2 linked regions of the Sus scrofa genome follow. Each later gene encodes a partner of the first gene's protein in a complex. Links are inferred from orthologs where the notes say so. Each region holds a gene or a part of one and is shown in the gene's direction. Other genes may lie near its edges.

Region 1 (4,503 bases):
GAGAAGACAGTCCCTGAACCAGGAAGTGAGCTCTCACCAGACACCAAATCTGCCAGGGTTTCATAGTCCCAACATTGGGAGTTCCCATTGCGGTGCATCGGAAACGAATCTGACTCGTATCCATGAAGATGTGGGCTTGATCCCTGGCCTCACTCAGTGGGTGGAGGAGCCCACGTTGTGGCGTAGGCTGGCAGCGGTAGCTCTGATTCAACCCCTAGCCTGGGAACTTCCATATGCTGGTGGTATGGCCCTAAAAAGAAACAAACATAAAACATAATCCCAACGTTGTGATAGGCTCCATAAACCTAAGTGCCCTGAGAATGGGAGGGGTTAAGGTTAAGTCCATCCCTCCTTGAAACTGGATGTTGTCAAGACTATACCCTAGTTTTTGGTATAGATGCACTCCCAGGTCCAGCTGCCTAGTGGACTGAGCTCTGCTGGCTCAAAGGACAACACTGCCCTCTTCTGGCAGAGGCCAGGCTCAGCAGATGAACCCTTAAACTTTCTTGGCTCTAGTCCATTCCTCCAGGCAAGGAAGAGGGCAAGTATCTGGCCTGCCCCTTTACTGATGACCTGTGGGGCCCTAGAATTTATTTCATTGACTGCCTCCCAGGGTTGGCTTTCTTGACAGATGTAGTTGTGAGCCATGCTTAGGTGAAAAAAATGCTGTCCTTTTGGAGGTGTATTTATCTATTGGTCTGATGGACTTTCAGAGGCAGCAGACCTGATTTACCAAGCTTAGCGTGTGGTACTGATGTGAGTTATTTCCCTTAATCCTCTTTAGAGTCCCTTGTATGAAGAATTATCATCTCCAGTTCCCTGAGGTCGAACTCTCTTGTGGATGCTTTAAACCATGCAAGGCAAGGGTGAGGGAGGGGCTGGTGGGAAGTGGGGAGAGGGATGGGGAAAATGCTTCTGACCCAGAGATAAAACCACATATCCACCTATCAGTTCACCACTGAACCCTCAGAACAGCTCCTGGTTCAATTCGCTGCATGAGTAAATATAAGCAAAGATTCTCGTATTAAATAGGCACTTGTCCTTCCTTCCAAATACACCCACCTGCCAAGGTCCGAATGTTTTCTTAGATGGTTTCTCGAATTTTCAAAAGAAATATTAGGGTTAATTAGCTCACTTAGGCAGAACGGAATCAGCACCTGAAGCATTGTTTGGGGGTACAGGTGGTGGTTATTCCTGAAGCAGCAGACACGAGGCGGAAGTAATGCAGAATACAGAGGCTACTAGTAACGGTTCCCAAAGGGGCTCAGATAGTGTTTTCTGTAGATCCCATTGCCTGAGCAATCTCATACCTCCCTCACCCAAAAATCAGATTTTAGCAGCTTAGAGGTGGGAGGAAACGCAAAGGTCCATTTCTCAATTATCTCTAACCCTGGAAAACAGTAAGTGGCATGATGATTACAAGAGGGTTTTGGCAAAAAGTCAAATGCCAGACAACCTGAGATTGTACCATTCGACAAGTGCAGCCTCGCCAATAGTAAAGATGGCAACTCGGCTCCTTCCTTCCCTTCGCATTTACCTAATGGTTGCCAATAGCCAACATGGCCGCGAGTCCGTGAGTTTCCATTGGTGGCTGCTCTGAGGCCCCGCCCCGCGAGCGAAGGCAGAGAGTTGCTGAGAAGGACGGTAAGCCTTCGGGTTGGGCTGCGCCTGCGCAAGTTATTGGCGCCAAGATGGCGATGGAGATGAGGCTTCCTGTCGCTCGCAAGCCTCTTAGCGAGAGCCTGGGGCGCGAGACTAAGAAGCACCTGGTGGTGCCGGGGGACACGATCACCACGGACACAGGCTTCATGCGGTACGTGGGGTCGTGGGGGACTCTGGGCTATAGGAGCGGCCGCACTGCTCTGCACGTGGCTTGCTGGCCGAAACCTGGGCCCTCCGTTCTCTTTCCCCTACGCCCTCGCGGTACCCAGGGCACATCTGCCGACCATCCTAGTCGCCTCGTTTTCGAAGCCTCGGGCTTATTGCTCCCTGCCTTGTGTGTGTCCCCGTCTGCTTTGCCCCAGCCCGCCGACACCCTCCTCTCCTGATCTCCGTGACTCTTCATCGCTCTGCCTGAGACCCAAATTCTGGGCCTTCCTCGTTGGGAAAACTGGGGAGGGCTAGGGGCCGGGGCCTCTTAACAGTTTTCGACTGAGAGGGACGGTGGGCGTTTTTGACATGTGCGCCTTCTCCCTCAGCATCATCTCTTAGCCAGGTGCATGGTTTTGGAACTAGTCATGGTTTGGGTTTAGAGCATGCAGGTATGTTGAGTTACATGCACCCAAATGTACAGCTTTGAATCTGAGGGCAGGCTCTTGAGTTGGACAGCTGGGGTTCCTGACCTCTCCCACGTCAGTTTCCTCATCCCTAAAATAGTGATATTAACTATTTAACAGGGTAGTGAGGATTAAATGAGGTGACGATTAAGGAAAGAAGCAAAACTCACCATTGTATCACTGTCATAGATTAACACTCGTGGATGCTCAGCCTGTTTCCCCCTTTGGGGAAAAGTGCTTGTACAAATAGGAGAGGTACAGCATTGATACATTCGTTGCCCTTTAGCCTCTTAGTTTGGGGTTATTGGATCCCAGGAAATCTTACGAGTCAGTCCTTCATTTGCTCATTGTGTATGTACATCATGTGTGGTTAGGGCACAGCACTGAACAGAGGGGAAATCTCTGTCCTGGTGGAGTTTACGTTCTCACTGGAAGAGACATAATAAGCGATAAGCACAGCAAACGCATAAGTGATTCAGAATATTTGGTGGTAAATGCAGTAGAGAAAATAAACAGTCGAGCAAGGTAAGCAGCATAGGTGGGATCGTGGCAGCAGCAGGGTGGGCGACATGAGAAACGGGATGGTGACGAGGGACAGGTGGAGAAAGTGACCTTTGGGAAGACTTGAGTCAGACAAGGAAGTGGTCCATGTATCCCTATTAAAGAAGGAATGTTTTAGGAAGCATGGCACAAAAATCTGGCTTTCAGGCAGGAGGAGGCTGTTAAGTTTGAGGAACACATTGTTTTTTGTTTGTTTGTTTTTTAAACTTTATTATTTTTTTATTTTATTTATTTATTTACTTATTTTGCTATTTCTTTGGGCTGTTCCTGCGGCACATGGAGATTCCCAGGCTAGGGGTCGAATCGGAGCTGTAGCCACCAGCCTACGCCAGAGCCACAGCAACGCAGGATCTGAGCCGCGTCTGCAACCTACACCACAGCTCACGGCAACGCTGGGTCTTTAACCCACTGAGCAAGGGCAGGGACGGAACCCACAACCTCATGGTTCCTAGTCGGATTCGTCAACCACGGGAACTCCTGTTCTTTGTTTTTAGGGCCGCACCCGAGGCTTTTGGAAGTTCCCAGGCTAGAGGCTGAATTGGAGCTACAGCTGCCGGCCTACGCCGCAGCAATGCCAGATCTGAGCTGTGTGTGCGACCTACACCACAGCTCACAGCAACGCCAGGTCTTTAACCCACTGATTGAGGCCAGGGATTGAACCCTGTCCTTTGTGTCTTCCTGTTGCCACAGGGGCCATGGGACCTATATGGGGGAAGAGAAGCTCATCGCGTCTGTGGCTGGCTCGGTGGAGAGAGTAAACAAGCTGATCTGTGTAAAAGCTTTGAAAACCAGGTGAGAACAAAAGGTGTGTATTGTGGCGTCAGAATTGCACAGCCAGGTCCTTTCTGCCACAGCATACCCCCTCCGTCCCCCATCCCTGCCTGCCCCATCATTCTGTAGGTCTGTGATTTGGAGCACGTGACTGAAGGAGGGGGATGGGTGACCACAGGTAGGTTTGGGCTTCAGAGGTTTCCCTACGTTACCTGACCTCCCCAAGCTTTGGTTTCCTCCTCTGCAAAATGAGACGTAGCATGACCTACCTTGTAGGATTTGCCCTGGAATGCACTGGAACAGTGCATGCAAAGTACTCACACAGAGCCTCCTACTCACACAGAGCCTCCTAGAAGGGCTCAGTTAAGGTAGCCCAGGAATATAAGCTAGTGGGGCTGGAACAGAGGGAGCAGGCGGGGTGGGGGATGGCAGGAGTGGTAGGAGCCTGCGGCCTGTGAAAATTCCCCAGGGCTGGGATTGAACCTGCACCACAGCGGCGACCTGAGCTGCTGCAGTGACAATGCCAGATCCTTAACCTACTGCGCCACCAGGGAACTCAACACGGTAAGCATTTTTGACTTGTACTTTGTGAAATCTAGGAAGCCACTGGAGGAGGTAGGGCAGAGGAGGGATCTGGTCTGACTTCTGTTTAGATGAAATCACTCTGGCTGCTGTGGGAGGACGGGGCAGGGGTAGGGCACTGCTGACCTAGACTAAGGTGATGGCAGTAGGAGTGGGCAGAAGTGGCCACGGTGGCATGTATTTTGTGCTCTGAGTGTTTTCATCATGAGAAAGTGTTGGATTTTGTATTCTTGGGATTTTCTGTACTAGAAGACCATGTCTGTGAGAAAAGAAAAGATAGTTTTATTTCTTCCTTTCCAATTTGGCTGCCTTT
Region 2 (3,173 bases), on another chromosome or scaffold:
ATCCCTGGCCTCACTCAGGGGGTTAAAGATCCGGCATTGCCATGAGCTGTGATGTAGGTTGCAGACACGGCTCAGATCTGACATTGCTGTGGCTATAGTGTAGGCCTGCAGCTTCAGATCAGATTGGACCCCTAGCCTGGGACCCTCCATATGCTGCCACTGTGGCCCTAAAAAGGCAAAAAACAAAACAAAACAAAAAATTCTACACTTAGTAGAGTTGCCTTGGACTAAAATCCTGGTAATTCCTAGTTTATCATGCCTCCTTGAGCTGGCAGCTACTAATACTGGAATGCCTAATGCTGCAATTTTCTCTATTCCAGGTCTCTAGCATCAATTCACGCTTTGCCAAAGTACACATTCTGTATGTGGGGTCCACACCACTTAAGAACTCTTTTCGAGGAACTATCCGGTAAGAAGTATTTTTGTCTTCATATTAGCTGCAGTACTTGGAATGAGATTAAGATAGAATGGGAGACCGGAATTTTTAAGAACAATTAGAATCCTTATTCATGCCTACTTCTCTCGTCTCTGTGCATTGGTTCTCCCCAAGTAGTATCCAGAGAAAATGTTGTATGTGTTAGGACAAAAAGGAAATATTAACGAGATAGTATTTAAATAAAACAAAAAGAGGAGTTCCCGTTGTGGCTCAAGGGTAATGAACCTGACTAATATCCATGAGGATGCAGGTTTGATCCCTGGCCTTGCTCAGTGGGTTAAGGATCCAGCATTACCATGAGCTGTGGTATAGGTCGCAGATTCGCCTCAGATCTGGTGTTGCTGTGGCTGTGGTGTAGGCTGGCAGCTGCAGCTCCAATTCAACCCCCAACCTACGAATTTCCATATGCCATAGGTGTGGCTCTAAAAAGAAAGAAAAACAAAAAATAGAAACATAAAAAAGAGGAGTTTTGCTGTAGCACAGCAGGTTAAGGATCCCAAGTTGTCACTGCTACAGCTTGGGTTTGATCCCTGACCCCAGGAACTTCCACAGGCCAAGGGCTTGGCGAAAAATAAATTAGTTAAAAATATAAAATGAATAGAGCTAAGCTGGGGATTAGCCTTGTGGGGATGATTCCTATCAAAGTAGAAAAAATTTTAGGAAGTACCTTTTTTTCTTCAATTTAATATAGATTAAACCCAAGGATTATAAGACAATAAAAAGGTTAATGAATGCAATGCTATATTTTGTTTTCCTATGAGTTCTTTGAGACGGGACTAACAGTTCCTGGGAGCTAGATAATTTAACATCCAAGGCTCTTTCCACCCTTGGGTTCTGTGTGGTTTTGTGGTGCTTTGGTTCAAGCTCTCCTAAGGCAACAAAGTTCCTTAGCCCTTTCTGCCAAAGTTGATTCGCTTTGCTGTAGCTGCACTATATGGTCCAAGAATGGGAAATGTGGTTTTCTCCGGGTGAGGACTGAGGATACCTCGATCTCCTCCTCTGGGTGGCAGCTGGGTCCCAGTTAGATTTGGTCTCTCTGCTCTTATAGCTAGAAGTTGCAGGATAATTCTTTCTTGCAAGTAATTAATCTTTCTTTTAATTTTTTTTTTAATAGGAAAGAAGATGTCCGAGCTACTGAAAAAGACAAGGTTGTTGGTTGATTCTTCCCCCCACCCCCCCAGGCATTAAGAATTTCAGTTTCTTTTAAGTTATTACAATGGGTTTCAAAATCTGTGGGAACGTAGAGTCCAGGGAATTTTATTTTATTTATTTATTTATTTTGTCTTTTTGCCATTTCTTAGGCCGCTCCCACAGCATATAGAGGTTCCCAGGCTAAGGGTCTAATCGGAGCTGTAGCCTCATGCCTACGCCAGAGCCACAGCAACACGGGATCCGAGCCGCGTCTACGACCTCCACCACAGCTCACGGCAATGCCAGATCCTTAACCCACTGAGCAAGGCCAGGGATCGAACCCGCATCCTCATGGTTCCTAGTCAGATTTGTTAACCACTAAGCCACGACGCCAACTCCGAGTCCAAGGAATTTCAAGGTGTTCCCTATTGGAAAGTGGAATTCACCTTACTGTCCCTTTCCTCTTCATGTTTTTTTTTTTTTTTTTTTTTTTCACTTCGTTGACCAGAAGGGCTCTGGCTTACTCTTTGCCTTAAGCCAGGTCTTTATTCACTGCTCAGACTTAACCCTGGACCCTGTCAGAGCAACTGTAGTACCTTGTGTCCAGGTCAGATTCCTGATCAGGTTACTGAGTTCAAAATCTTTATGTGATGATGCCACAGAAGCACTCAAATTTGTTGATTGACTCAAACCCTTGGGGATTGGAAAGAAAGTGGCTCTGCCAGAGGGGTTGGTTGACAGTGTCATGTAGACCTGACTGGGAGCTTTCCCTTAACGCTCCGGTTCTTTTTTTCACAGGTTGAAATTTATAAGAGTTTCCGCCCAGGGGACATCGTATTGGCCAAAGTCGTATCCTTTATTTTCTGCAGATTTCTGGTCTTTTGTCAAAAGAAGAAATGGAAGTAGGGAAACCACTCAGGTGGCTCTGGGAGGGCAGACTTATAGAAGCCTTTATTCTCCTTTACCAGTGTGACGTGACTAGATCTCTCTAGGTGACGCGCAGTCCCACTACCTCCTGACGACTGCCGAAAACGAGCTGGGAGTGGTGGTAGCCCACAGTGAATCAGGTGAGTTTGTCCACACCTCCACGTGCTTCCCTTTCCCTGGGAGCTAGGCTTTGGGGTTCATCCGTTGTTTTCCCTTGTTTCCCTTGTTTTTTAATTATCTGGGACATAATGTGAGTGTAGGGACTTACTACTGAGATCAGAATTATTCCTCCTCTGGAGTCTCCGGGGGTGGTACAGCGGAAATGAATCCGACTAGGAACCATGAGGTTACAGGTTCAATCCCTGGCCTCGCTCAGTGGGCTAAAGATCTGGCGTTGCCATGCTCTGTGGTGTAGGTCGCAAATGTGGCTCGGATCTGGCGTTGATGTGGCTGTGGTGTAGGCCAGCAGCTGTAGCTCCAATTGGACCCCTACCCTGGGAACCTCCATATGCCTCGGGTGTGGGCCCCCCCCCAAAAGAATTATTCCTCCTCATCTAATCTAAGTGAAAGAGTCACTTACTCCATAAGTCAGTGAAATAAACAAGGTTATTTTTCTGTATGAGGTAAGGTTCACTATGCAACTTGGTGACAGTTCAGTTCTTACCCAGCTGAAAAGAGA

Evidence for each region.
Region 2: EXOSC2 (region 1) and EXOSC1 share a complex: the UniProt entries of both Homo sapiens proteins name them as parts of the RNA exosome core complex. The link is inferred for Sus scrofa from reciprocal best matches to the Homo sapiens genes EXOSC2 and EXOSC1.

Annotation. Positions count from the first base shown.
Region 1 is NC_010443.5:270,746,873-270,751,375, forward strand, and holds the start of EXOSC2 (exosome complex component RRP4), read left to right. Parts: upstream 1-1,661; 5' UTR 1,662-1,691; coding exon 1,692-1,813; intron 1,814-3,527; coding exon 3,528-3,629; intron 3,630-4,503. UniProt on the Homo sapiens protein: Non-catalytic component of the RNA exosome complex which has 3'->5' exoribonuclease activity and participates in a multitude of cellular RNA processing and degradation events.
Region 2 is NC_010456.5:108,836,680-108,839,852, reverse strand, and holds part of EXOSC1 (exosome complex component CSL4), read left to right. Parts: intron 1-320; coding exon 321-409; intron 410-1,550; coding exon 1,551-1,584; intron 1,585-2,365; coding exon 2,366-2,416; intron 2,417-2,549; coding exon 2,550-2,634; intron 2,635-3,173. UniProt on the Homo sapiens protein: Non-catalytic component of the RNA exosome complex which has 3'->5' exoribonuclease activity and participates in a multitude of cellular RNA processing and degradation events.